Arabidopsis thaliana: one gene and its partner. The protein of the gene in region 2 interacts with the protein of the main gene of each other region in a pairwise test. Each region holds a gene or a part of one and is shown on either strand. Other genes may lie near its edges. The genes, in order: DSK2 and TED3.

Region 1 (15,525 bases), on a different chromosome or scaffold from region 2:
CGGTTTATGACGCGCCTGAACTCATCTTCACCATCTCCTATAGTACCATTTATGAATTCAAGTGATAATCGATGACTCAAGTTTTCAATGGTGAATCAATTTTTTTTTGAGATCTTTCTCTTGAGTATCTTTCTATTCACATCAAAATCCACTATTTAATACGCCAACATCACGTCTAATGAACTTGACAATTATTTCTTTATTTTGTTTTGTTTGTATGTAACCAAAATATTCAGTTTTGGATTTTGACACAATAATTTACCAAAAAATGCCGTGAAAAAGAATTCTAAAAACAGATTAATAGTTTTTAACACAAAAAGAGCTATTTACTTTTATTTAATTGGACATTTATCCATCTTTCATTTTTTTAAATTTTATATAAAGAAAATACATGGATATCAATCATAAAATCATCAACCAAGATTGAAAATGGTAATTATCATTTAGTTTTATAGAAAATTATATCTGTGTAAGCAACCCTGAATATTAATTGAGTTTACATGATAAAAAATATAGCTTTTGAACAATTATTTTAACAACAGTAAATATTAATTTGCTATCTTAAATTATAGTATAAAAGTGAAATTAATTATTTAAAACTATAATCTAAACATATTTATAATCCAACCGTATAGAGACTTGTTGAAAAGTAAAATAAAGTTTTCAAATGAAGAAAATACAGAGGATAATTGTAGGGGCCTTGATTGTTTTCTCTTTATTTGGTGGTCTCATGTAAATTATTTTTCTTTATAGTTGACTTTGACCTTTAAAACCTCTATAATTCTCTCTTTCCTTATTCTTCCTCAAATCTTTGCACCACCATTCTTTTATGACTCAGTCTTCTCTCTCTCTTCTCTCAATGCCCATGATAACACCAAACCACTTGCTTCTGCTTCTCACACCACAAAATTCTCTATTCAATAAATAAATCTCTCAGAAGAAATTTCTTCGAATTGGAGAAGATAAAAAAAGTTTTATCTTTTCTTGATTTTTTTTCTTTTTTTTCTAATCATTCACACCCAATTTAAACGAGACTTGTCCAATCTCTATCCATCAATATTGTATCATTTCTTGTAAAGTACTCTGTTTTAGCTTCACACGCCATTTTTTGTTTTTCCATTTGACTTCTGTAAAATCCTGACAAAGAATTGTTTAAGACATACATATACGTGTTATATATTTGTAAAGGAAGCAAAAAGTGTTTGGCTTTTAATTTCTCTCTGTTGGGATGGGTCTTTGTTGGGGATCTCCATCTGATTCTCCTCCAACAACAACACCTTCCTCTACTGGTAACATCAGTTCAGGTTTGTCCTATCTATATCTACTGAATTTTCCCATCTGGGTTTTGCTTAAACTTGCGTGATACGTTGCAATTTCTGTACTTGGTTGTTTGATGCATAAAGGTTACGCTTTTACATCTTCTTGTATCGTTTGTGACTCTTCTTTTGGTGTTATCTCGTATGGGTTCTATGAAAGTTTTGACCTTTTGATTAAAAGACTCTGTTCTTCTTGTGTTTTTGTTGAATCAGATTCATTATCATACTTAATGCTGTTTGTGATCTGTTATGTGACTCTCTGTTTTGGGCTTGACTTTGTTTTCTTGTGGTTGTAATTGAAGTAGGGACTTTTAAGTCATCAAACAACACGACGACTACAGGAACATCAAGGGGAAGTAACATATCTAGCAATAGTGGGTTCTCTGTGGCAAGTGGTGAAGATGCTTACCCCGATGGTCAGATACTTCCCATTCCGAATTTGAGGATATTCAGCTTAGCAGAACTTAGAGCTTCAACAAGGAATTTCAGGTCTGAGAATGTTCTTGGAGAGGGAGGATTTGGGAAAGTCTTTAAAGGCTGGCTTGAAGACAAGACTCCAGGGAAACAAAGCAACGGAACTGTGATTGCTGTTAAGAAACTGAATGCAGAAAGCTTCCAAGGATTCGAAGAATGGCAAGTGAGTAAAGTGAACTATGGGAAACTAGTTTTCTAACTTTGATATACAAAGTGAAGTTTTGTTTGCTGAGTGGATAGATTCTTTGTTGGTTGTTGTGCAGTGTGAAGTGAATTTTCTTGGGAGGGTTTCTCATCCAAACCTCGTGAAGCTGTTGGGATACTGCTTGGAAGGTGAAGAGTTGCTTCTTGTGTATGAGTATATGCAAAAAGGGAGCTTAGAGAATCATCTCTTCCGAAGTAAGAACATTCTTTAATCAGAATCTTTTGCTTATATGCACATTTACATCTCGATGTTTCGATGTGTAATTGCTTCTATTACTTCAGAGGGGTCTGCCGTTCAGCCACTCTCATGGGAGATAAGGCTTAAGATTGCAATAGGAGCAGCTAAAGGCTTAGCATTCTTACACGCTTCAGAGAAGCAAGTAATTTATCGAGACTTCAAAGCGTCAAACATTCTACTTGATGGGGTAAGTACATACAGATTGCTTATGGATTTGATGTAGCAAATCATCAAGTGTGAAATTTCAACTGGTTTGCTCTTGATGCAGTCATATAACGCAAAGATATCAGATTTTGGATTGGCGAAATTAGGACCTTCCGCTAGTCAATCTCACATCACAACACGGGTTATGGGTACACACGGTTACGCAGCTCCAGAGTATGTTGCTACAGGTACTACAATGTTTTGTATTCTTAGTTCTTTTGGTTTCCAACAACAAACTGTGAACATGTTTGTTGGTTCCAACAGGTCACTTGTATGTAAAGAGCGATGTTTACGGGTTTGGCGTTGTTTTGGCTGAGATCTTAACTGGTTTACATGCGCTTGATCCTACTCGTCCTACCGGGCAACACAATCTAACCGAATGGATCAAACCTCATCTATCCGAAAGAAGAAAGCTAAGAAGCATAATGGACCCTCGTCTAGAAGGAAAATACCCTTTCAAATCTGCTTTCCGAGTAGCTCAACTGGCTCTGAAATGCCTTGGACCCGAACCCAAAAACCGTCCATCGATGAAAGAAGTGGTGGAATCGCTCGAACTCATCGAAGCTGCCAATGAGAAACCGTTAGAACGAAGGACCACTAGAGCTTCCCCATCCATCCGTCAACAACAAGGCCATTATCGCCCGCAACAACTCTCTTCGTTTCGTCCTAGACAAAACGTGTCTCGAGCTCACTAGTGTTGTTTGAAGACACTGAGATTCTTTTCTTAGTTTTGTATTTGTTAAGATTATCAAAACCCATTCGTATGTATACTACATGAAAGAGAAAACAAATGTTGTACCTGTATTAGTATGTAGTGTTTGGTGTGTGTAATATAACTACTTAAACGGTTAAACCAGATTATGAAAAGGTTTAACTAATGGTCATCAATATATAAGCCATTGTTCACACAATTTTGTTGTTAAAGCTTCAAACTTTAGTTGTGGTTTGAAGTATGGTAATGGGATCACACTTGTGTTCAAAGCTACAAGCTTTGTCTTCGAAGATTAAGCAAGCTTCTGTTAGTGGAAAATGGCGGGAAGTGGTCTCTGGGTATTCAGAGATACAGAGAGCTGGAGTTCAATTTAACGATCCTTTCGTTTTCCCCATTGTTTTTAAAGCTTGTGCTAAGCTCTCATGGCTGTTTCAAGGTAGATGTATTCAAGCAAGTCTGTTAAAGAGAGGTTTTGAGTCTTTTGTTTCTGTAGGGAACTCAATTGCTGATTTCTATATGAAATGTGGAGACTTGTGTTCTGGGTTACGAGAATTTGATTGTATGAATTCGAGAGATTCGGTGTCTTGGAATGTTATCGTTTTTGGGCTTCTCGATTATGGTTTTGAAGAAGAAGGGTTATGGTGGTTTTCGAAGTTGAGAGTTTGGGGTTTTGAGCCTAATACTTCAACATTGGTTCTTGTGATTCATGCGTGTCGTAGTTTATGGTTCGATGGAGAGAAGATTCATGGCTATGTGATCCGTAGTGGGTTTTGTGGGATTTCGTCTGTTCAAAATTCGATCTTGTGTATGTACGCAGATAGTGATTCTTTAAGTGCACGTAAACTGTTCGATGAAATGTCTGAAAGAGATGTTATTTCTTGGAGTGTTGTAATCCGAAGTTATGTGCAGAGCAAGGAACCTGTTGTTGGATTGAAGTTGTTTAAAGAGATGGTTCATGAGGCGAAAACAGAGCCTGATTGTGTGACTGTGACAAGTGTTCTCAAGGCTTGCACGGTGATGGAGGACATTGATGTTGGAAGATCAGTTCATGGGTTTTCGATACGGAGAGGTTTTGATTTGGCAGATGTGTTTGTTTGCAATTCACTTATTGATATGTATTCAAAAGGATTTGATGTTGATTCAGCATTTAGAGTATTTGATGAGACCACTTGTCGAAACATTGTTTCATGGAATTCGATTTTGGCTGGGTTTGTACATAATCAAAGGTACGATGAGGCTCTTGAGATGTTTCATTTGATGGTGCAAGAGGCGGTCGAAGTGGATGAAGTTACAGTCGTGAGTCTTCTCCGGGTTTGCAAGTTTTTTGAGCAGCCATTGCCTTGCAAGTCAATACATGGTGTAATAATTCGGCGTGGATATGAGTCAAACGAAGTGGCTTTGAGTTCTTTGATTGATGCGTATACAAGCTGCAGTCTTGTTGATGATGCAGGAACCGTGCTTGATTCGATGACGTACAAGGATGTGGTGTCATGTAGCACAATGATCTCTGGATTAGCCCATGCTGGCCGATCCGATGAAGCAATCTCAATCTTCTGTCACATGAGGGATACGCCCAATGCTATCACCGTCATAAGTCTTCTTAACGCATGCTCAGTTTCAGCGGACTTGAGAACTTCCAAATGGGCACATGGGATTGCTATCCGGAGAAGCTTAGCCATCAATGACATCTCAGTTGGTACCTCTATTGTTGACGCATACGCAAAATGTGGTGCCATAGAAATGGCGAGAAGGACTTTCGATCAAATCACTGAGAAAAACATCATCTCTTGGACCGTGATCATTTCAGCATATGCTATTAATGGTCTACCGGATAAAGCATTAGCATTGTTCGATGAAATGAAACAAAAAGGTTACACACCAAACGCTGTGACATATCTGGCAGCTTTATCAGCTTGTAATCATGGAGGATTGGTAAAGAAAGGTCTCATGATCTTCAAATCAATGGTAGAAGAAGATCACAAACCTTCATTGCAACATTACTCTTGCATTGTAGACATGCTTAGCCGAGCTGGAGAGATTGATACGGCTGTGGAACTTATCAAGAATCTTCCAGAAGATGTTAAAGCAGGGGCTAGTGCTTGGGGAGCGATTCTTAGCGGTTGCAGAAACCGTTTTAAAAAATTGATCATTACCTCAGAGGTAGTAGCTGAGGTTCTTGAACTCGAGCCCTTGTGTTCTTCAGGTTACTTGCTTGCGTCAAGCACATTTGCTGCAGAAAAATCATGGGAAGATGTAGCAATGATGAGGAGGTTGGTGAAGGAGAGAAAGGTTCGGGTCGTTGCGGGTTATAGCATGGTTCGTGAAGGAAACTTGGCAAAGAGGTTTTTGGCTGGAGACAAGTTAAGCCAGAGTGATTCTGAATTAAATGATGTCGTTCAGAGTCTTCATAGATGCATGAAGTTAGACGATACTGCAGGACCGATAAACTAAAGCCCTTTGGGCCTCAACGAAGCAGATAAATGATATTATTATACGATGCCGTATGTATTCTCGGATCCGGGTGAGAAAAGGAACGAACCGGGTTTTGTTTTTGACCCGACCCGGTCCCTTCGATCCGTTCTCTGAAGCAGAAGTCTTCTTGTTTTGTTCTCTTCGATCCATTTCGTCAAGCAATCTACCGAACCGACTCAGAGCTTTTGAGTCTTCTAAATCTCTATCGAATTTTTCTAGGGTTAGGGCTCCTGATCGATTTCGCGAGCTCTGCGATTATTTTAAGTATTAGGATCCGAAATTAGAAATGGGTGGAGAGGGAGATTCAAGTCAGCCGCAGAGTGGTGAAGGAGAAGCTGTGGCTGTGAACATCAGGTGCTCTAATGGCACGAAATTTAGTGTGAAGACGAGTCTCGATTCAACGGTGGAGTCTTTCAAAGAGTTGGTGGCTCAGAGCAGCGATGTTCCAGCTAATCAGCAGCGCTTGATTTACAAGGGTCGTATCCTCAAGGACGATCAAACTCTCCTCAGCTATGGTAATCTTCATCGTTTCTGATTTATTCGTGTGGGTACTTTTGTTGTTCTCGTAGATCCTTATTGATTGAAATTCTTGTGGATTCTATTCTCTGTGGAACATGTTATACCTAGGTTTGCAGGCTGATCACACCATTCATATGGTTAGAGGCTCTGCACCTTCTTCAGCACCACCTCCTGCTCCGGCCGCAAGCCAAACCACTGCACCTAGTGTTACTCGAGGGGTTGGTTCAGATAATAGCTCGAATCTAGGAGGAGCGAGTCCTGGGGAATCTTTGTTCCCTGGGCTTGGATTTAATCCTCTGGGTGGTGGAAATGCTATGTCTGGGTTATTTGGAGCTGGTCTTCCGGATCTTGTGCAGACACAGCAACAACTAGCTCAAAACCCTAACATGATTAGAGATATGATGAATACTCCAGCCATCCAGAACCTTATGAACAACCCAGAGTTTATGAGGAGTATGATTATGAATAACCCTCAAATGCGTGAGCTTGTAGATCGCAATCCTGAGCTTGGTCATGTGCTCAATGACCCAAGCATCCTTCGTCAAACTCTAGAAGCGGCAAGAAACCCAGAGCTTATGCGTGAAATGATGCGGAATACTGATAGGGCTATGAGTAATATTGAGTCTATGCCTGAGGGATTTAACATGCTTAGGCGTATGTATGAAAATGTCCAGGAACCGTTAATGAATGCTACCACTATGTCCGGGAATGCTGGAAACAATACAGGCTCCAATCCATTTGCTGCTCTGTTGGGAAACCAGGGGGTCACTACGCAAGGAAGTGATGCTTCTAATAATTCTTCGACACCAAATGCTGGAACGGGGACTATTCCGAATGCAAATCCACTTCCTAATCCTTGGGGTGCTACAGGTGGTAAGTAACTGCATTTTCATCTTCTAATCTCCTGTCGATTTTATTTGTCTTTTGAAGGATGCAGTAATATTTTATAAATGAAAAAGTGGCTTGTTTATAAGAAATGGACGTTACTGTTCACTGCTCTGCTTCAGGAACAATATTGTGTATAGTAAATTGGTGAGTTAGTGTAGTTACCACAATTTGTTGTTATGTGTAGTTTTTGCATATGATTTTCTTGGCTTATTGTTTCTAATTTAACATTTACTCATAATACACTAAATATAATTGAACATATTGTGGGCTACTTGACAGGTCAGACAACTGCCCCTGGAAGGACAAATGTTGGTGGGGATGCGAGGAGCCCTGGACTTGGTGGCCTTGGTGGTCTTGGAAGCCTTGGAGGCCTTGGTGGACTCGGTATGCTTGGAGCGGATTCACCTCTTGGTGCGACTCCAGATGCTTCTCAATTGAGCCAGTTATTGCAAAACCCAGCCATATCGCAGATGATGCAAAGCGTATTTTCCAATCCACAATACATGAATCAGGTAGGCCTAGAATGATCTGAACTTAAGAGCCTTTTACCATTGTGAACATATATTAATTGTTTTCCCTTGATTCCAGCTTATGAGTCTTAACCCACAACTCCGAAGCATGCTAGATTCGAATCCTCAGTTGAGGGAAATGATGCAGAACCCAGATTTCCTTCGTCAGTTTAGTTCTCCGGAGATGATGCAGGTTAGTTTGTCCCCTATTGTCTGTATGCATATGAATTTTTAACATGGTAGTCTCTCAAAAGAAACATTTCTTTGTATCTAAGCTATTTTCAAGTAAAGAAGTTTCTTTTCTTTTTTTTTTTTGGGACAAAGTAAAGAAGTTTCTTAAACCTAATGTTTTCTATTGTTTTTTGGTCTTCAGCAAATGATGACTCTACAGCAATCACTATCTCAGAATAGAAATACAGCCAGCCAGTAAGTTTTGTTAAAACCCTTCGTTGTTTGGATTTGCTTAAACAAAGTTGAGCATTTACATGTCCTTTACATATTGTTTTTTGGGTTGTTTAGTGTTTAGACAATGTTGTAACTAGCTAAAAAGATTGGTTGTGAACGATCTCTATAATAAGAAAAGGATTGAACCATGACTAATGCAGCAACTCTTGTATGATTTACTGGGCTGATCACTAGTAACATCTATCAAAGAGGCTATAAATAAAGCATTTTAATCGTTGGAATACACTTGAATAGGGCTCATAACATTTTGTTTGTTTTTGATTATGCCTTTTAGCATAAGCTATGTGTGTTAATCTCCATATTTTGATTTTCATCAATCCGCATTCATGTTCCCAAATCTATCTTCTCTGTAGGGATGCGGGGCAAACTGGTGCTGCCACAGGTACTCTTAAAGATATTATATGTATTTATTCTACAGTAGTATAAAGGGTTTAGTTATGTTACGTAGTATAGCAGCTACTCTTTAGTTCTCTTTGCTTTCATGTATGTTTTATTTTAGCAGATATTGTATCGTATACAAGTTAATAGTAGAATGACAATACTGATGGGGACAGGAAATAACGGGGGGCTGGATTTATTGATGAATATGTTTGGCAGTCTTGGTGCTGGCGGCCTGAGTGGCACGAACCAATCCAATGGTTAGAGACTACAAATTTTTTTTAGCTTACGCATCTGTTGTGATGGTTCCACTGAAACTTGTCTGTTTGATTCCAGTTCCTCCTGAAGAGCGGTACGCTACTCAATTGCAACAGTTGCAGGAAATGGGATTCTATGACAGAGCAGAGAACATTAGGGCGTTGCTTGCAACCAATGGTAACGTTAACGCTGCTGTAGAACGACTCTTGGGGAGTATCGGACAGTAGCATACAGGTTCATGAACTGATGTCTCTCCATCTGGCTTCTCAGTTATAGAATAAACAGCTTGAATGTGTGTTTTTCAGTAATGATATATTCATCGAATTCATAAAAATTTATATATGATAGGATCGTGAACTTTGTTGATAGAAAAGCCGCATCAATACGGTATTTGTTATCAGTGGTCACTCTTCGTCTTTAACTACCCTTAAACCTATATATCTTGGGTGTTTATCTTTGATAACTTATTTCAAGTTGTTACAACATACAACATCTGTAAATGTTTATAGACATCAAAGTGAAATTGAACCCATTAAATTTTTGGTTCCTTCTGATCCGGTTCAAAGGTTAAACCAAATTGCCCAAAGAGAGAAGTGGCATGTTGCAAAGGAATATCCAATTAGTTGATTCATCATCTTCAATTAGATTCAAGTTACAGCCAATTCCTTCCTGAACTATATACCAAATGCCTCAATTTAGACCCGACCCGGCCCAATCTTACCCAGTAAGAGTCGTCGATACGTTCTCTGAAGCGCAAGTCATTTCTGGATTCTCATTTAATTGGCCGTTCGGGGCCAAATAACTCTTTAATTTTCTGCAGTCTCATTTGTTATTCGACCAAAAATAATTTATATCCCTTTCCTCAAGAAATCTTCAGAACCGACTTATTAGAGCTTCGAGTCTCCTCAAATCTTCTTCTACGATTTTTTCTTCTAGGTTTAGAGCTTTTGATTCTCCGATCAATTTCGCGATTTGTTGAACTAGGATCTGAAATTAGAATGGGTGGTGAAGCAGATTCGAGGCAGCCGCTGACTGCTGAAGGCGTAGCTGTTGCCGTGAACGTCAGATGCTCCAATGGCACGAAATTTAGTGTGACGACGAGCCTCGATTCCACGGTGGAGTCTTTCAAAGAGTTAATTGCGCAGAACAGCGATGTGCCGGCAAATCAGCAGCGTTTGATTTACAAGGGACGTATCCTCAAAGACGATCAGACTCTCCTCAGCTATGGTAATTTTCTGATCATTTCGTGTTTCATTTCTGTTGTTCCGTTGCTTTAATTTGACTGAAAATCTCATAGGGTTTCTAGGGGGTTGGAACATTGGATTTATGTTAGGTTTTTACAGAAGCATGGATGATTTTATGAGTTTTGATGTATGCTTAATCCTTCTATGGGAAGAATAAGGAGATGTAGTTAGTGATACGATAATTGATTCATACCATTCTTAGAGTTCCTAATGTTCTCATGATCATGTATCTTCTTGGGATGTATATTTTCTCCATCAATGGCTGTTGTTGATATGATTGTGTTGGATAGTTTCCACGTTTTATTGTTTTGCATCATGAGCCTCAATGTTTCCTTTCTCTGTGGACCATTTTATATATAGGTTTGCAGGCTGATCACACCGTTCATATGGTTCGAGGTTTTGTGCCTTCTTCTCCTTCTGCTCCCGCTGCAAATGCTGGAAACCAAACCACTGCTCCTCAAGCGGTTGGTTCAAATGATAGCTCAAACCTCGGAGGAGGTGAATCTTTGTTCCCTGGCCTTGGATTTAATCCTTTGGGTGGTGGAAATGCTATGGCTGGATTATTTGGATCTGGTCTTCCTGATCTTGAGCAGGCACAGCAACAACTAGCTCAGAACCCTAACATGATTAGAGAGATGATGAATACTCCAGCCATCCAGAATCTTATGAACAACCCAGAATTTATGAGGAGTATGATTATGAATAACCCTCAAATGCGTGAGCTTGTAGATCGCAATCCTGAGCTTGGTCATGTGCTCAATGACCCAAGCATCCTTCGTCAAACTCTAGAAGCGGCGAGAAACCCAGAGCTTATGCGTGAAATGATGAGAAATACTGATAGGGCTATGAGTAATATTGAGTCTATGCCTGAGGGATTTAACATGCTTAGGCGTATGTATGAAAATGTCCAGGAACCGTTAATGAATGCTACCACTATGTCCGAGAATGCTGGAAACAATACGAGCTCTAATCCATTTGCTGCTCTTCTGGGAAACCAGGGGGTTACTACACAAGGAAGCGATACTTCTAATAATATTTCGGCACCGAATGCTGAAACGGGTACACCTAATGCAAATCCACTTCCTAATCCTTGGGGTGCCACGGCTGGTAAGAAACTGTATTCTCATCCTCTTAATTTCATATGGGATTTTACTTGTAGTTTAAGGTTGAAATATTAAATATAAAAGCAAGAGTGGCTTGTTTTTAAGAAGTGAAAGTTTATGTTTACCACACTGGTCAGGAATAGTATTGATTATAGTAATAATTGGTGAGTTCATGTTCTCACAGTTTGTTGTTATGACTAGTTTGTCTATGAATAAGTTTCTTGGCTGTTTGTTTCTAGTTTAACTGTTACTCGTAATGCACTAAAGATTTTAGAACATATTGTGGGGCTACTTGACAGGCCAGACAACTGCCCCTGGAAGGACAAATGCTGGACTTGGTGGTCTTGGTGGGCTTGGAGGCCTTGGTGGACTCGGTATGCTGGGAGCGGACTCACCTCTTGGTGCGACTCCAGATGCTTCTCAATTGAGCCAAATACTGCAAAACCCCGCTATGTCGCAGATGATGCAAAGCGTACTTTCCAATCCACAGTACATGAATCAGGTAGCGCCTTCAGTAATCTGAATTTTAGACATTGTAGCTATTGTGAGGCTGTCTTTAATATTTTAATATTTCCTTCATTTCCAGCTTATGAGTCTTAACCCACAACTCCGAAGCATGCTAGATATGAATCCTCAGTTGAGGGAAATGATGCAGAACCCTGATTTCCTTCGCCAGTTTAGCTCTCCCGAGATGATGCAGGTTAGTTGGGCCCATGTTGTCTCTCCAGATAATTATTTTTATATCATTCAGTAGTCAAATTTCTCCGACCTAATGTTTTCTATTGTTTTTTGGTCTTTTTAGCAAATGATGTCTCTACAACAATCACTTTTCTCTCAGAATAGGAACACGGCTGGCCAGTAAGTTTGGATACCCTTTTCTGTTTTCTTTAGTTGGAACATTAGTTGAGTAGGTAATGTCCTTTATATATCATAATAGGATTTTGGGTTGATCTGTGTTTAGAAAATAGTGTCACTAGCTAACCAGGTAATTCTCTCGGTGGTGAACTATCTTATATTAAGTAATAAATGGGTTGAATCATTAGTAATGCAGCAACTCTTGTATGTTTTACTGGGCTGATCATTAGTGACCTTTATCAACGGCTGTAAAGTATTTTAGTCCTTGAAATAAACTTGAATAGGAGCATAAAAATTTTCGTTCTTTTTTGGTTCTTTCCTTTAACATTTGATATCAGTGATCTTGATTTCCATCAACCTCTATTCATGTTCCCAATCCATCTTCTTTGTAGGGATCCTACGCAAACTGGTGCTGCGACAGGTACTATATTATCTGTAATTGAAGTATGAAGGCTTCAACTAGTTCACTTAGACAGTGTGCTTTTTTTTGTTCTTTTGCTTTACTTTAATCGTATATTCATTACGTTGCTTATTGAGTAAATCACTACTATGGAAATATTTATAGGGACAGCCAATAACGGAGGACTAGATTTATTGATGAATATGTTTGGCAGCCTTGGTGCTGGCGGCCTAAGTGGCACAAACCAACCCAATGGTTAGATTCACTAGGGGCTATACTTTGATTTCTTATATATCTATTGAGATGGTTCCACTGAAACATGTCTATTTGATTCCAGTTCCTCCTGAAGAGCGATTTGCGACTCAGTTGCAACAGTTGCAAGAAATGGGATTCTACGACAGAGCAGAGAACATAAGGGCTTTGCTTGCAACCAATGGTAACGTTAACGCTGCTGTAGAACGACTCTTGGGGAGTATTGGCCAGTAACATACAGGTTCGTGAACTGATATCACTCCACTCTGGCTTCTCAATTATAGAATAAACAATGTGTTTTCTTTCAGTAATCTAATTTATGGAATTCGTATAACTACATTTATGATAGGATCGCGAACTTGTGGATAGAAAAGCCGCTCATCGATACACTATTTGTTTTCAATGGTCATCTTCTTTCCTCTTTACCCAATCCCCACAACCTTTTTTACATACTTTGGGTCGTCTGTTATCTTTCAGATTCTATTTGAAGTTGTTACCTCGTACATCTGTAGAAGTTGATTTCGAAATGTGGAATGGTTACATTTACGTTTTCTTATCTCCATTTTACTTATTAAATATAGCTGTAGTGACGTTGATAATTTGTGATTGAGCGTTAAGTTTTTCATTCGAATAACAAAGATAAATACAATAATAATTGAAAGAAAAACAAAACTTATGAGGAAAACAAAAAAAGAAATGTAAATCCGACAAAACAGGGAGAAGTAACTGCTAAGAAACCGTCGATGAAAACTAACTTGTTCTTCTTCTACTTAACCAACCATAACTCCCACTCTTCTACTTTTTTTTTTCCTCTCTTTTAGTTTTTCTGTCTTCTCTCTAGTAAGAGACTCAATAATAATGTCGAACACTTCAAACTCCGATCCCAATTCCGATATCCCATTTGCTTCCTCCAATGTAACTCTTCCTAGTTACAATCAAAACCCAAGAAGAAAACGTACTAAACTCACCAACAACGAAGTCGGTTCTTCTTCGTCTTCTCCAAGGCCTAAACCGGTCACGCAACCGGACCCTGATGCTTCACAAATCGCACGACCATGTACTGAATGTGGTAAACAATTCGGGTCACTGAAGGCACTCTTTGGACACATGAGATGTCACCCTGAACGTCAGTGGCGTGGCATCAACCCTCCTTCTAACTTCAAACGTAGGATCAACTCAAACGCTGCGTCATCATCCTCGAGTTGGGATCCATCTGAGGAAGAGCATAACATAGCCTCCTGTTTACTAATGATGGCTAATGGTGATGTCCCAACCCGTTCAAGTGAAGTTGAGGAACGGTTTGAGTGTGATGGTTGTAAGAAAGTGTTTGGGTCACATCAAGCGTTAGGCGGACATAGAGCAACACATAAAGACGTCAAAGGATGTTTCGCCAATAAAAACATAACCGAAGATCCTCCTCCTCCACCTCCTCAAGAGATCGTTGATCAAGATAAGGGCAAGAGTGTGAAGTTGGTCTCGGGGATGAATCATCGATGTAACATCTGTTCTAGAGTGTTCTCCAGTGGTCAAGCGTTAGGAGGTCACATGAGATGTCATTGGGAGAAAGATCAGGAAGAGAACCAAGTCAGGGGCATTGATCTTAATGTTCCTGCGGCGACATCTTCAGACACAACGTTAGGTTGTTCCTTGGATCTTAGGTTAGGACTTTGATATATGATAACTTAAGGTTTTATATATTTATTGGGTATTTGGTTCTTTCTCTTAATTAACAAAAAACTCTCTCTGTATATATGTGTGATACTTTGTATGATGAACGTATAGGATTGTGGTATTGTATTCTATATATAAGTTAATTAGTTTATGAAATGCAAATAGAGTTATTTACTAAATGTCCAATATTCAAGAAATTAGCTTTATGAAGTTTAAAACGTTGAATCTTTTTCCCTATGTAAAAAGTTTATATTGTTTGATCATACATGTATATGTATCATGCATGGATTATGGTGTTTCTTCACAGTGTCAGTACACTAAGTGAGAAAATCAAGATTCTTCTTCCCTAAAAATGTTGCTTCGAGAAGAGTTACTTTGTTGAAGCTATTAGCAGATTCAGGGTGGAAGTTGTTGTTGACTCGAAGATGATGCCACATCGTGCTGCTTTGTTACTTCATGCATTTCAGAAGATGAAATCTACAAGCAAAAAGATTTGGTTTTATAACATGAATGCGAAAAATCTTCAGGGATGAAATTATTGTAACAGTAAGCCTCCTTACTTCTTTTTTAGCCTGCAAGGCTTTAAGTGTTGCAACAAGCTTTTTAGTGATGCCATTCTCTATATAACCCTTCCACTGCAAACATTCAGAGGCGAGTTTTAAAACTATAGTAGCTTCTTCTGTAGAGAACTTTCCCTTCAGATTTGGATCCATGAGCTCAGTGACATCCTTTCCATTGATCATCTCAGGAGCCTAGAAACAGAGGATAAATAACCACTCAGTAAAATGTAACTTGTGTTGCAAGAAACCAAGGATTCCACAAAGTCAAGCTTGAACAGAATTACTTACATGGCTCGGAGAAATTTGCAATCCAGTTAGCAGATTCACAAGGATAGTACCAAATCTGTATGTCACATTCCCAGTCCTCACGTTCCCTACAATGAGAATATAAAACATTACATTCTGATATGAATAGTCTGAAGATACAAGAGCGAATTGGTTACCTCCTTCTCTTCGATTGTAACGGATGATCTCTTTCACCAAGCCGAAACTAGAAAGACAGGCATCACCATCCTTCAACACCAGTAAAAACAGTTTAGCATCCTTAGATCACATGACAAGGCATAGGCATGAAAAATGTTGTTTAACATACCTTATCAAACAGAACAGTGTAAGCACTTAGATTATCGTACTCGTCAAAACGTACAGAATTGCAATAATCCAATGCTTCAACTATATGATACGCCACTCGCAACCTCATTGACCATTCCATGTTCTTCTCTGTGCATCACAAAAGAAAAAAGAAACCTCAAACAGAGAATGCTAATAAGTTCTGTTTCAATCAATTCTACAAGCAGATACAT
Region 2 (14,736 bases):
CCCTGGCTGAAGAACTAGTCAAAATGACAGCAGAGGTATGTATAGCGCTGAGAGTTTAGAGTTGATATTATGCTCAGTGTTATGATGATATTTCGTCTATATCTGGTAACTGTGGATGTAGTGTGAGAAGCTACGGGGGGAGGCAGATAGGGTCCCGGGCATAAAGGCAGAGCTGGAAGCACTAAGGCAAAGACACGCGGCTGCTCTGGAATTGATGGGTGAACGAGATGAGGAGGTAAGATATGTGAATAAAATAGTAGTGTATCCAGCATTAACAACAGTAGTTGGCATTGAGTTAATAAAAAAGTGGGTTTGGGTGGTAGTTGGAGGAACTTCGAGCGGATATAGTGGACTTGAAGGAGATGTACAGGGAGCAAGTGAACATGCTGGTGAACAAGGTAAGGCAAACAGACACAAGTGGAGTCAAAGTGTTGACAAACTCAGGCTAATGGGTTTGTGCAATTTTGGGTTTGCAGATCCAATGAGGGGCAAGGGAAGATGGTGTTGGCAAGCTCAGGCTCACGAGTAGGACCACCTAATCCTTGTTTCCCCAATATTGTATAGCTCTATAAGCTACCAACCTAAGCCCACTATATTCATTTGTCGTTTTGTCTCTCAGGTGTTGGTTGAACTTGAGGCTTTTTAAAACAAACTTTTGCTGCTCGAAAGAAGATTTTTCTTACAGTGAATTCGATCGTAAATTATTATTTTGGAGACGAGAATAAACTTTTGTCTGTGTGACTTATCTACGTATGTAACATGTATTGTCTGTGTAGTAGAAAAACGGTGGAGAGACCCATTAATAATGGGATTCGTTGATGTAGCAATCCATCCATATAGGAAAACTGTGTGACTCGAATGGACCCGAATGAGATATCAAAATCACAGAAATGATAGATAAAGAAAATAAAGAACAAAAAGGCCTCCGGCCCTCTTGTAAATGTTAATAAAAGCCCAAAGGCCCAAAATAGCTCTGCAATGGCTTCTCCTGTAATGAATAGTTGTAGGCTGGTTTCAGCATCAATCAATAGTCATAAAGCAGGGGAGGGATCCTTTCATCAAAAGTCTTGTACTCTTGTACATACAGCATTACTGAATTCATATATAAATGTCATTATTTCATTGGTACTAGAGTATAGTTTGCTGAGTTCCATGAAAAGAACGGTAGAGGCGAGAGCAGGTGATTAAAACCCATCCCCTGTGAACGGAGTGAGTGTAGGTGTAGCCATAAAGTTGTCGTCGCTCCTCTGTAAAAGTTTCTTCTATTCGACGATTCCTCTCGACGTTATCATATTTCCTCTCCAGGTTGGTACTATCATCATCCTTGTTCTCTTTGTTTGCATCCCTCCTTCCTTCCTTGCTTCCTTGTAGATCTGCCATTGCCTTTTTTAATCCAAATCTTATATTTCTGATTTACATTGCTTCCGTCAGATCCGACGATCTCACTTTCTCATCATCTGTCGTCAGCTTTTTTGTTTCTTCTTTTATCTCTTTTTATTTTTAAAATAAATATATTGTTGATTCTGGAATTTTCCTAGTAGCTCACGTCACGTTACGTCATGTGTGTGCTTTGAATTTTAAATTGACTCGCAAGGCTGGTTTTGATTATGTGTAAGTGATCGCTGGACTTCACACACACTAACAAGTAGCACTTGAATGAAGCTTTCCTTTAATGGATTGATTATTTAATAAATTGCGACTTTGACGTCTTTGAGCATCCATCCATGTTGAAGAATCCCATTATTCGTATGCTTTTCTTCTATGGCCTTGCATCAGTCAGCACTCAACTTGTTTGAATGTGCAGGAGCGTGTTTCCAGAGGGGATGGATTCTGTTCGACGCACTTACACCATTATGCGAGGTCGTCACATAGACAAGCGTGTTCCTTCTAAAGAGTTTCTCTCTGCTTTGGATAAAGCTGAAACTGCAGGTTTTTTGTACCCACCCTCATAATAGTCATGATTTTACTCTATTGCCTACTTTTTGGTGCACACGGACAGTGTTATATATTTTAAAGACCACTTCTGATCTTTTTATTGTATTTGCTCATCAACTCTATATTGCTTGTTTGTGTTTTAGACATAGCATTGTACCTAGATATACCACTTTTTTCTTGTTGCCTCAATATCTTGAAACTTCTTCTGCATAGACTGACTCTTGACTTTTCTCAACTCCAGTACGTCTTCCTACTGGGACGGGAAAAGACTGCGGGAATCCTTCCTGGAAGCGATCTCTGCCTCACGTGCTCGTTGCTTCTCTGACTTCGCTTTTATTCGGCTATCATCTCGGGTCTCTCCTTGTGACATTTGTTCTCCCTTTTTCCTTTTTTCTTTTTCATCTTTGCATTTATAGACCAAACATGGAAATTTACTTCTCATGATGCTAGGCTATTATCTTTTTCTTTCGTAAGCTTATTTTTCAGGCTCAAGTTGTATTTCTTCTCGATGCATTGTTTTTCTTGGAGCACTCGATAACATTATCTATTTGCCTCAATGACTCAGTTTTTTATAAATGTATATGTCTGGGAATAATAGCAAATTCATGCCTCTTTTCTGGACACAGGGTTGTTAATGAAACTCTCGAAAGCATATCAATTGACCTTGGCTTTAGTGGGAACACCATAGCTGAAGGTACCTTACCTATCCAAGAAGACAACTTACTTGTTTTTCTGTTTATCCAGTCTTTGTGTCTATCTCCCGTCTGATCATTCCAAAAACCTTTTTCTGATGGATGAAGGTCTTGTGGTTAGCACCTGCTTAGGCGGCGCCTTTATTGGGTCTCTGTTCAGTGGGTTGGTAGCTGATGGTGTTGGGCGCCGTAGAGCTTTCCAGTTGAGCGCTTTACCAATGATTGTTGGAGCTTCTGTGAGGTGATGTTTTGTTCAGGTTAATTGGGGGTTTAGGCTGTTCAGTTCACATGACTAAGTACTTGTTTCAGGTTCTTATGGTATGATATATATTTTTGGTTGAATGTCTATGTGGGCACTTGAACATTTCAGATTCGAATCTTTGCCTGTTGATTTGCTGAACCTGTGGTCTAGGCTAGTCATTATGCAGTTGGATTATCTCGTAGTGATTTCCTGCTTGGATGTTTATAGTTATAGCGTGGTGATTTTAACATATTTGGCCTCATTTGAACATATTTGGTCTCAAGTCATTGCCATGGTGATTTTCACTTATCCCAAGGTGTACTCACTAGTTAGGTTAATTCATCCTGTTTCTCTTTTAGCCAGAGTCCATTTATGTAATCATGAAATCTGTGTGCTTACAAGTGTGTTGTTTGCAGTGCATCAACTGAGAGTCTTATGGGCATGCTCCTGGGAAGGTTTTTGGTCGGAATTGGGATGGGCATAGGTCCTTCTGTTACAGCTCTCTATGTCACTGAGGTACTTGACATATACGTTGAAGTCTTTCTTATCTGCACTTGTTTTGATAGGATTGCTACATGAAATTTCTTCCTCACTTTTGATGTGAATATTACTTGGCGTATATTATTTTAATTATGTCAAAAGATGTTTGGAGTCAATGTAAATAGATGTCTATTTCAGACATAAAAAGACTTGAACTTGGAACCATTAACATGCAGAAGGTCATTGACGCACATAATTTTCATTGTAATAAGGACTTCAATCTTGAAAGCTATATTCGCATTATTGGATTTATTTAATGTGAAAAAGAAGGTTCTGGGCACACAAATATCACTAACTCGCTTTGTCAATACATCTTACATTCATACTTAGAGCAAGACTCACAGTTTCTCTTTGCAGGTGTCACCTGCTTATGTGAGAGGTACATATGGGAGTTCTACCCAAATCGCAACATGTATTGGACTCTTAGGTTCGCTGTTTGCTGGAATCCCGGCAAAAGATAACTTGGGCTGGTAAGATGTTGATAAGAACTCAAGGAATAGATGACTTAACAGCTTATATGGCCTGTAACTCTTCGAGGTTGAAATTATTGCAACTCTGTGCCATCTGTGACTTCCAAACGCATGGTAGTTCACCCTTTTTGCTTGCTTTAGGTGGCATGTTTGATCCCCGTTGTCTATTCCAAACCCACCTATATGCAATGTGAATCTCTAGTGCCTTGTTAAAATGCTGCAACTCTATAGGAACCACCTCATCTTTTGCTGCAAATTCATTAGTGATTTTGACATGAGAACCGCCTTTGTAGGGAAAGAAATCCTGGAGTTTCTAAGCTACTAGCAGATCACATGCTTTGGTCTACTTGGCTGAATTACTAGTTGAATAGGTTTCTCTTTCTTGATTGGTGTAGGTGGCGCATATGTTTTTGGATATCCACAGTCCCAGCTGCAATGCTTGCTGTCTTCATGGAACTCTGCGTGGAAAGTCCTCAGTGGCTTTTTAAGGTTACTGTCTAATTTTAACCCGCATAGCTCTTAAAGACGTTTTGATTTTTATAAACCATTTCTTTGGTTGATTCTTTTTCTGTTTAACCGTAGAGGGGAAGGGCAGCTGAAGCTGAAGCTGTGTTTGAGAAGCTATTGGGAGGGTCGTACGTCAAAGCTGCTATGGCAGAGTTAGTGAAGTCGGATAGGGGAGATGACGCCGATTCAGCCAAATTGTCGGAGTTGCTTTTTGGACGCAGTTTTAGAGGTATGTGTGATCTTTAACCAACAAGATTGGTGAAAATGTGTGGCATTAGTTCGATGTCAAATATCACGGAAATATTAGATCTAGATTTTTATTCATCAAAAAGTTGAATCATTTGCACGGAAGGTATGTTAGGTGGCTAAACTGGATCCATAGCCAAAAAAATGACATTTTCATTTGCCAAAAACATACATATAGATGATGTGTAGCCTCTTAATTACCTTCATTTTTACGTTTAAATTTTCTCCGATTGCAGTGGTTTTCATTGGATCTACCCTTTTTGCTTTACAACAGTTGTCTGGGATAAATGCTGTGTTCTATTTCTCATCAACTGTCTTCAAGAAAGCTGGTGTACCTTCAGCCTCTGCAAACATATGTGTAGGAGTTTGCAACCTCTTAGGTATTGAAATGTGACTTTTTCTTGTACATTCTACTATGGCTTGAAAGGCCATCATATTCATGATAAGCTAGATAAGCAAGTAGGTGAATGCAGTCTTCCTGAATACAAACACAACATTAGGAACAGTAAACTAATCACTGGTTTAAGTGAACAACCTTCCTCTTACCACAAAGATGATGATCTGAAATCTTTCCTTTCAACATGTTGATGATCTGTATTTAAAACGAATGTGAGCATCATTCATACTCTTGTACAGGATCAACTGTTGCTGTGGTTTTGATGGATAAGCTGGGGAGAAAAGTGTTGCTTATTGGGAGTTTTGCGGGCATGGTAATTGTTGAGGCAAAAAGTGCTATTTGAATCAAACTTTACGCAGCTAATATTTAATAACGCTCCATGTATGTAGATGTAAATGTTTATCATCTTTAACAGGCAGTATCGCTGGGTCTCCAAGCAATAGCATATACTTCGCTTCCTTCGCCCTTTGGAACCTTGTTTCTCTCGGTTGGAGGAATGCTGCTGTAAGTTTTCTATCACAACAACAGCACTGGAAAAGGGGGATGTTTTATTTTGATAAACTAGGGGTGTGATTACGAATGCAGGTTTGTGTTGTCGTTTGCAACTGGAGCGGGTCCTGTTCCAAGTCTTCTCCTGTCTGAGATATGCCCTGGTCGACTTCGAGCAACTGCGTTGGCTGTTTGTCTTGCCGTTCACTGGGTATGCCTTTTTTTTTTTTTTTTTTTCTCTTTGTGGACTTTTTTAGGAAATCGATAATGTTGAAATAATAATAAGCTTGGAGAATTACACGCTACAACAGGTTATAAACTTCTTTGTCGGGCTGCTGTTTCTGAGAATGCTGGAGCAACTAGGTTCGGTGCTTCTAAATGCAATATTTGGGTTCTTCTGTGTGGTGGCAGTCATCTTTGTGCAGAAGAACGTGGTTGAGACTAAAGGAAAGAGCCTACAAGAGATAGAAATCAGTCTGCTCTCTTCCACCCAGTGATTGATCTCTTTATTCTGAGAATTCGTATTATTCTTCTGGCTCTCTTTTTTTCCTTGGAGAGACACAAGTAACGTGTACCTAATATGGAAGTAGGAGTGAGTAGTAAGTAGGTAAACAACATGTAAGGAAATGGATATTATTCATTCGAGTATAGCCAACGTTTCAACTGATTTTGTAATAAACATAAGACCAAACTTCATTCAACAATGGTAGGTTCTCAACTCATGTACAGAAGTGCACCTATCTAATTTTTTTGTTGCATCACATTCATGATGTTCCCTTATTGTATAGTCTGTCTGCAAACAAACACCTATCAGATTCTTCTCTGCTTTCGGCTGCTTGCCTTGGCTTTTTACACTTCCACTATTGCATCTGCTTATTCTTCAAGACTTGGTGGCATGACTCAACAATTTGTCACCTCCATTCATTTGCCACTTGAAACACCTTCCCGTTGTATGGCAACCACAGGCTCGTTACATCTAAGACACCGGAACGATGCTGCTGAAGCGCAGCGGGTCCTTATGCAGTAGTAACAGTACCTGCGACAAGTCAATTCTTTTAAATGTATGTAACAACTACAGCACATACTATGAATTCAACAAGTCAATAAAATCACTTCTGTGTCTTCTCCAAAGTCAGATACACAATCATGTGAAATTTTTTGCTTCTAGTACAATCAGTTATAGTACATGTCTGGGGAGAGAGTTAACTACTTTATTCTGATCCAAAACTTTTGCACAGAAAAATACCATACCTGTGCTGACAAGGCAGAGCTATAAACGGAATTGCAGGATCCACTTGGCAAATAGGGCAAGTCACTGTATCCTCTTTAGTGCTTGAGGACTTGTCCTTGGCAAATGGACTAAGAATATTCTTAACAGCTGAAGAGTTGAGCAGCGGGAGAAGCAACAAAAGCATTTCCTGAATATCACCAAACAAATTTAAAGCTGAATGCCAAAACAGAACCAGGAAATCAGATCCTAACATTACGTTTCTGGTAGCAAGTCTAAACAGAATGTTTTGATCTATTGAAGGATCTGAAAGAGAGAAAAAGCGACAAATACAGTGTTTTGAACATAGACAAGGTATTTGTACTCCAATGAAACTGTTGAGTCACAGGATCTACATAGTTCAGAATTCCAGATACGGACACAATATGTTTTCAGCTTTTAACAGCTCAAGTTCAAGCAGCAAAAGTGTTTCTTCCAAAGAAAAAGTGAAGGTAAGCTGATAGATACTATCATTCAAGAAAATGTTCGAGACCAGCAAGTATCAATCATAGGCCAGAAACCATCAGCCAAGGATGCTACTCAGAACTGACAGGTTGCCAAACTTTTAAATTGATGTTGAACTAGTTAAGCAACACACAGAGAAGACCTACCGAAAATTCATTCCACACAAGTTGCCGATTCATGTACTCGAAGCTGACAGATCGGTTCATATGGGGACTCCTATAGACAAGCCTAGCTTTTAAAGCTTTTTCAATGAGGTTCCTATACCTGGATCAAGAAAGAAAAAGAAGAGTAGCGGAAGTGAGAATCATCAAGGTATTTCTGTTTGTGATTTTGGTTCTTGTTTCGATATTTCACTGTGAACTCAAAAGTTACCAATGAACTGAATCAGATTTTAAATGGTCATAAGAAGTAACTGCACTGCAGTGTGGTTTTATCAGGATAAGTAGAGGAAATGAAAGAGTCCATGTACCAAGTTGTACCTTCCCGTATAAAGAAATGACAATAGGTTAAGAAAAGAAGCAGCTTTGTAGATGCCTTCGATTCGTTGTACGAGGGTCCAAAGTCGCCTTGCCAATGGTCTCTACAAGTCAAAACAAGGAGAAAAGAATCAACCATAGCGATGGCGTGAGGATGACTGCAAACGGGAGAAAAAAAGAATAAACCATGCTCCTCATACAGACCTGCTCAGAATCACCCCATCTACGGAAAGCAGAAAATGACTGCAAACGGGAGAAGAGGTACTGACCACCAACGGAGGCAACGCAGTACCAAATCTTTTGGGGAGAAGTAAGTCCGGGTCCTTCCAGTCCTGTTCTGACTATACGAGAGTACAAGAGTGATTAGAAAAAAAGGGTGACAGAAGAAGAGTGTTTAGAAAATAAAATAAAAAATACCTTTCCCCAAGTGCTGAGCAACGACTCCTCGTTCATCTCTGTATCTAAGATTCATGAGAGCGTTTCCGGGGGTGGGTTTGTCAACCCAAATAGAGAATCTCCAAATGAGAAACTCAAGGAAAGCATCAAGCTCTGGTTCGTATTGAAAGAGCATTCCTGGCTAATAAAATGCCAAAGAAAGTAAATGGCTTAATAAAATGCCAAGGAAAGCATCAAGTTAGCTCTCTGCTCACCTTCATCAGAGTGAAAACCTTAACGAGCTGTTCCTTCAACATGGCTGACATTTCCACATCTAGTCGTGCTGCGTCGAACTGATTCACTCTAGAGATTGCAACCGGTATAACTGACTGCCATCAAAGACCACATATAATAAGCAAACAAGCCACGACACAAACAAGCATCCCTGAGACAGAACCTACCCGGCGGGAAGCGAGAAGAGACTGCGATTCAGGAAGCAAGCGCTGGTAAGAGCGGATCCAAGCATCGTCTGCAGGCGTAGACGGCGTCATTGGCGGTGTAGCAGGGCTAGGGTTTGTAATTCCGGCGATAGACAACAAGGCAAAGTTGTTTATTGATGAAGCCCGACGAGGGTCTTACCGTCTTTTCCAATCTACAGCTACGTTGTTTGTTTTCTCTCTTTGTCTCACACTCACACCCACAGAGATTCATCCATGTCTCCTCCTTTCTTCTTCTTCTTTCAAAATTGTTTAGTCTTCTTGATTCACCACTTTTATCAGATTATTATTTTGTCTTAAAAGGCTCATATGGTATTAAAGACCCATATCACCAAAAATAGGCCCATAGCAATAAAAAGGCCCATATCTGTTACAAACTCTAGGGCCCGGTTCTATTAGTACTAACGACATAAAATTATCCTTATTGATGATCTCTTAACATTACTCTTAGTTAAGAGATATGTCTTATATCTAACAAAATTGTATTAAAGTCTCTTATTTATGAGACTTTGTTAATTATAAGCTATTATAAGACTGTCTCTTAACTTAAGAATTGTTTTAAGAAACTATTAATAACGATGCTCTTGTGTAGTTTGTTGATAGATTTTTTATTTTTTTTCCACAGTTTGTTGATTGATTTGTTTTGAACAGTGAAAAGTAAAACTTATAATAAATGTCAGAGAAGAACATAAATTGGATTATACCATAAGGGTTCGATGAATGAAACAAAAAGATGAAGAAAAGTAAAAGAGGAGAAGAACTATAAGGGAAACAATTTGACTAATAAGAAATGAAACGAAAGCTAGCAATGGTTAAGAAAAGAGGAATAAGAAGACAAGCCGTAGGCAGGGAGGAGGCAGCAGAAGATGCGGATGCGGATGCGTAGGGAGAGGCAGAATTAGAAAGAGGCGACATGGATGGAGGCATGGAAGCGTCATGGTCATGGTGTTGGTGGATATGCATGACTTCTACGATGAGACGCTGGCCGCTGGTGCAGTGCTGGTTGGAGCCGCTGATGAAGTAGAAGAGACCAGGACGATCAAGGTCGAATGTGCTGTTTCCATTGTCAAAGGCTGTAATGGGATCGCTGCCGTTGCAGTGGTAGAAACCCCATTTGTCTACCTCCATCACCGAGTCCTTGTCGTACACAAACGCTGACATATTTTTGATTAGAAACCAATCAATTATTACCGATCATGAATGATAAAAAAAAGAAAACACAAGTTGGGAACAAGCTAGCTCACAGAGTGAATCACCGATGTGGAAGCGGTTGCTGCTGGCCCAGTGGCTGTAAACCGCTGAATCATTCTGGAGTGGGACTCTCCACCCGAACTCGTCTCCAACCTTGAAATCCCTAGGACCTTCCGCCGCCATGGAAGCCACCACAAGGGCACAAATGCAGAGCATTAGTGTTAGATTACAAGTAGATCTCATCATCATCATCATCATCTTCTTGTTCTTTTGTAAGTATATAGTATGTTTGAGAGGAATTCGTACGTAGCTTTGATGGTTGTGTGTAAAAATGAAGGTGGCTGGCTCTGCTTTATATAAACAAGGAGAAGGAAAGTGGCGGTTGAGCTCTCCGAGGCCGAGGAGTCGTGGAGATGAATTTGAAACGGTTTTTATTTAATTCATTCATTCTCCTTCGTGCTGCAAGTCATGGGCCACTTCTTCTTCACCACGTCATCCTAATTACTGACGTGGACCAATCACCTTCTCCTCTGCGATTTTCTCTCTAAACGCTGCGTTTCGACTCCCCTGTTGTCATTTACAAATGATGATGATCGGAACTAGAAACTAGGTAGTTTCTGATGGCGGCGGCGGCGATGCACACATCGGCGGAATTCATCAATCTGAAACCCAACATGTGGAAGAAGAATCCTGTTCGGGCCTCGGGTTCTTGCTGTCTGGGCAGCAGCAGTGGTGATGAAATCTCTCGGAAAAGGAAGCTTCCGATTCTCCTCTTCGACGTCATGGACACCATCGTCCGTGACCCCTTTTACCAGGACGTTCCGGCCTTCTTCGGGTGAGAAAGTGAAATCCTCGAATTTATTTCTCGATTCATCAATGATAAACTGAGGTTGTGGATCAGAATGCCAATGAAGCAACTACTAGAGTGCAAGCACCCGATGGTCTGGATCGAATTTGAAAAGGGTTTGATTGATGAGGTGAGGTACCACCACTCTTTCTTTCTTTTTTTCTTCATATTATCTCCTCTGACTTTTGGTTTTAGGAGGAGCTTGCTAGAAACTTCTTTATAGATGGGAGGGATTTTGATTTGGAAGGTGAGATTGCCATATAGATAGATAGGTAAATACACAGAGAGAGGGTTTCCTCGTACCTATTTCAATCCTCTTTATTGCAGGGCTTAAGGAGTGCATGAGGTCAGGTTACTCCTACTTAGATGGCATGCAAGAGCTCCTTCAAACTTTGGCAGCTGACGACTTCGAGATTCATGCTTTCACTAACTATCCCATCTGGTTTCCATCCCTTGCCTTTCACTCTTTGAAACGGAGCTTCATGTCTCTTTGTTTACTCTTGTCGTGTTTCCATAGGTACAACATTATCGAAGACAAGTTAAAGCTTTCTGCCTACTTATCATGGACGTTTTGCTCCTGTATTGCTGGTACATCACACATCTCTTGCCTCTTTTTACTACTTATTGCTTGTCAGATCCAAACCATTCCTACTACATACAAAGCTCCTCATGTGTTATATCTTTCAGGGAAGAGAAAGCCTGATCCAGAGTTCTACCTCGAGGTTGTGGGACACCTCGGAGTTGAACCTTGCGACTGTATATTCATTGATGACAGGTTATAACATGAACTCAATGCCTTTATAACTTAAAAGAAAGAAACCATTTTGATCTGAAGGAGTGTCTGATACGCAGGCCAACCAACGTCAAGTGTGCTATAGAGATAGGGATGGGTGGGTTATGCTTTGAGAATGCAGATTCGCTCGCTAAGGATCTCTCAGATCTAGGGATCAACGTCTCTGTACCCAAATTATGATTGTAATTTCATCACAACGCATCATCTTAAATGTATTGCATCAGAGAAATACTCAAAAGAGAAATACATTGTTTTTGGGATTGCAAGTAGAGTCTTTGTTGGATTATATAAAGCAGCGAAAATATTGAGACTAGGGAGTGGAGAGCACAAGGACAGTAAAGAAGGAAGAGGAAGCGAGGAAGATGAAGGAGAGGAAGACTAAGAGGAGAGACAGGGCGACATGATTGCAGAAAGAAGAAAGGGTCTTGCAGAAGTCGGGGAGAGGAGTGTGCCTGATGCCGGTTTTGTTGAGGTTGGTAACTCCGGAACCGGCTGATCCAGCGCTCATCATCAAATAACAAAAGAGCTGCGTGCACACAGTAAATCAAATGGGTTACATTCGGAAGAAAAGGGAATGGAGAAAAGGAGACGAGGAACCTGATCGGAGGTGAAGCAAAGCCAAGCTTGGAAGCGGGAAGGCGTGATGGGAGATCCGGTGACGAGTCTGTAAACACCGAGGCAGAGCTGTAACAGGGAGTAGAGCACGGTCCCTGCGCATGCCCCCACCACATACCTTAACACCAAACAACTCTTTCTTAGTGAGATGAATGAAATATACACTATATATAATCACAAAGTTTAAAACTAGCTAGGACACACAATAATGTCATGTTGTTGTTTGGTTCACGGATGTGTTTCTGTTCACCGGAATATCTGTCATCCGAACACACACATTCTGTTTTGCTGCTTTTCTTTTATTATAATATATATATATGCATTCAGATAAAAAGAAAATTCTAATTGCTATGTCTGTCCCTAATTATAATGCTCGTAAGAAGAAGAAGACGAAGAAGAAGAAGACTGACTGGTAGGAGGGAGAGAAAGACCAGTTGGAGGAGAGAGTGAGCTTGAAGCCGTAGATGTCTGCCACTCCCTCCTCAGTAGCGGTCAGCATCACCGCCATGGCCGTGGCTGAAGCAGCCAAACAACCTCCCCTGAGAGCCACCTGCACTAGCTCCTTAATTCCCTTCCTCCTCCTCTTCGCCACCACCTCTCCCCCTTCTCCATTACTCGTCATTCGAACCCTTTCTACGTTGTTTGTTTGTGTGATATGCTCCTGCTTTTTTATTTTTATAAAACTCACACACAAACTCACTCCTTCATTCTTTATACCACAACAAGTACTCTCTTTTTCTCCTCCACCTTTTCCGTGTTGCTGCTTCCTCCTGTTTCGCTCTCTCTTTTTTTTATACGACTTTGTATTTCTTTCTTTTATAACAAAAAAAGACGAAAGTTGTGAATCAAGCCTAGCTCATTCCTTTCTTATATATTTATTTATATGTAATTTAAAAAATGGGATGGAAAAATAAACATCTCTATTGGGGGACTTGTCTATCTCTATGTACATGAGCAGGTACAATCAGCGTGCCTCATGTTCTCTGCTTATTAAGACGCAAATGCCAAAGAACCCGATTTGAATGATATTTGTATTTACTTTCTCATATGTTTCACATTCTCCTCCTTATAACATCAATTAATATTTGTATGTACGTGGACGATAGGTTAATTAGATTTTTGAGATGTGATAGTGTTATAACTAATACTACAACAACTGAGAGAAGAGAAATTTGAGGAGTCACAAACTTAAATCTATATATCCGGAATTCAACGGAGACAGAATTTAAAGGAAAGGGGATACAGCCAAAGAAAAGTTGACACGTGTCGTCATAACAGATATACGAATAGGTCGTCCACTCGGCCGGGTGGTAAACTAGCGGTTATATATGATGAGTTCACCTGAATAAGAGATTTGCAAGAATGGACCCATCATTGATCATCCCATCCCACATCCATTCTATTCCTCTGAATTGAAAATTTATAGCGAAAAAACAAATCTATATAGACAGTTCATGATCCCTTCATTTCTATAGAAAAAAGTATCTGGTTCCTTTGGATTGAAAGAAACGAAAATACATAGGAATTAAATACAACTTATATTACGCTTGACCAGGATATCTGGATCAGTTTTATTAATTAGTACTGTAGTATATATATATATATGAGTGTTTAGAGTACTAGTAGCTATAGCTAGCTAGGGACTAAATTAAACGTTAAGATATTAGAAGAGACAAATTAATTAAGGTCCCTGGTGATGGCAGGAATACAGCTTGAAGTACGGGAAATGGCGGGCTTAGGGATAATAGACTGACCCCTCGTGCTTCTCCGGAGCATATCTCTCATGGCATCAGCTTGGAAGAGAGCCGGATACTCCCTCCCGAGCTTGTTGAACCTGAGGCAGGCGCTCATGTGCTCCTTCAAGGCCCCTTCTAGCCCTTCCTCTTCCCTCTTATCCCTCTCCTCCTTCACCGCCTCTGAGCACAGTCCGCATATCCACTTCCCAAAGAACTTCTCCCTCACCCTCTCTATGTACTCCATCGTGCACTCCTCCCTCATCCCGCAGCACTCGCACTTTGCCTTCTCTACCTCCACTATCGTCCCCAGTCCTTTCTCTTCTTCTCTGTGATAATCCAGCGATATGTCTGACAGGGACCTATGCAGTGACTTTTTCCCTACCTTTGGCGGGGGCGGCTTCACCAAGCTTCCGCTCACGCTCTTCCTTCTCCCGTTTGCTGCCATATCCAATCTTCTTTTTTTCACCTAGAGCGTCTGCGCTAAGCTTTGGTATTTATAAGCGGTGCTGTCTGTGTTGACATATTCATGTGTATTGTGTGGTTCAGCATTGCCATCTCACGTACGTGCTCACGCTATAGCGACCTAGCTCTTTACTTACTCTTTGTTTTACTTTTCACAACAATACTAATTAATGAAGCCACTAATTCACGTGCTACATTGCAACTGGATCCTAGCCTTTAATACAACTCTTCTAAATTGGTATATCTCTCTCTGTATTGAGTTCATGCATATATGGGGATATATACAAACAAAAACATTATTTATTTTTTGTCTGCCGTCACTAATCGATCTCAACTAAACTTTTGTCATTTTTTTAATGAACTGTAAACTTGGTGTTCATTTCGTTCTCATTAATGTAGTTTCCTTAGAGATTGCAAAAATTAGATACATTTTGTAGCATGAAATCTGAATTATAGAAGGAAATCAGATAAGCAAGTGTGCAAATATACAAAAAT

What was found.
Region 1: the proteins of TED3 (region 2) and DSK2 interact in binary tests that used the Arabidopsis thaliana proteins (3 or more experiments, as listed by UniProt).

Annotation. Positions count from the first base shown.
Region 1 is NC_003071.7:7,475,472-7,490,996, reverse strand, and holds DSK2 (ubiquitin family protein), read left to right. Parts: upstream 1-5,756; 5' UTR 5,757-5,906; coding exon 5,907-6,135; intron 6,136-6,247; coding exon 6,248-7,012; intron 7,013-7,306; coding exon 7,307-7,539; intron 7,540-7,615; coding exon 7,616-7,729; intron 7,730-7,909; coding exon 7,910-7,962; intron 7,963-8,354; coding exon 8,355-8,383; intron 8,384-8,555; coding exon 8,556-8,639; intron 8,640-8,715; coding exon 8,716-8,864; 3' UTR 8,865-9,116; downstream 9,117-15,525. Other genes in the region: Kin3 (Protein kinase superfamily protein), read left to right, coding at 1,229-1,304, 1,619-1,953, 2,054-2,189, 2,277-2,419, 2,501-2,624, 2,701-3,131; AT2G17210 (Tetratricopeptide repeat (TPR)-like superfamily protein), read left to right, coding at 3,389-5,599; AT2G17190 (ubiquitin family protein), read left to right, coding at 9,636-9,864, 10,242-10,988, 11,284-11,486, 11,571-11,684, 11,787-11,842, 12,232-12,260, 12,405-12,494, 12,577-12,725; DAZ1 (C2H2-like zinc finger protein), read left to right, coding at 13,350-14,162; AT2G17170 (Protein kinase superfamily protein), read right to left, coding at 14,559-14,639, 14,723-14,914, 15,011-15,096, 15,166-15,235, 15,315-15,442. UniProt on the Arabidopsis thaliana protein: Binds and presumably selects ubiquitin-conjugates for destruction. Prefers multiubiquitin chains rather than single ubiquitins, with a binding affinity for 'Lys-48'-linked ubiquitin chains.
Region 2 is NC_003070.9:30,013,859-30,028,594, reverse strand, and holds TED3 (Pex2/Pex12 N-terminal domain-containing protein / zinc finger (C3HC4-type RING finger) family protein), read right to left. Parts: upstream 8,852-14,736; 5' UTR 8,652-8,851; coding exon 8,562-8,651; exon of another isoform or gene 8,558-8,561; intron 8,490-8,557; coding exon 8,376-8,489; intron 8,303-8,375; coding exon 8,143-8,302; intron 8,067-8,142; coding exon 7,930-8,066; intron 7,830-7,929; coding exon 7,729-7,829; intron 7,514-7,728; coding exon 7,396-7,513; exon of another isoform or gene 6,936-7,395; coding exon 6,769-6,935; intron 6,554-6,768; coding exon 6,439-6,553; 3' UTR 6,109-6,438; downstream 1-6,108. Other genes in the region: GC5 (golgin Putative 5), read left to right, coding at 1-35, 122-235, 324-398, 477-485; SGB1 (Major facilitator superfamily protein), read left to right, coding at 1,824-1,929, 2,177-2,288, 2,562-2,629, 2,736-2,868, 3,285-3,384, 3,766-3,878, 4,274-4,367, 4,461-4,614 and 5 more; ENODL7 (early nodulin-like protein 7), read right to left, coding at 9,378-9,751, 9,842-10,046; FHY1 (Haloacid dehalogenase-like hydrolase (HAD) superfamily protein), read left to right, coding at 10,409-10,623, 10,690-10,765, 10,831-10,882, 10,963-11,223, 11,323-11,410, 11,488-11,608; AT1G79780 (Uncharacterized protein family (UPF0497)), read right to left, coding at 11,739-11,954, 12,026-12,161, 12,454-12,665; AT1G79770 (CASP-like protein (DUF1677)), read right to left, coding at 13,721-14,224. UniProt on the Arabidopsis thaliana protein: E3 ubiquitin-protein ligase component of a retrotranslocation channel required for peroxisome organization by mediating export of the PEX5 receptor from peroxisomes to the cytosol, thereby promoting PEX5 recycling.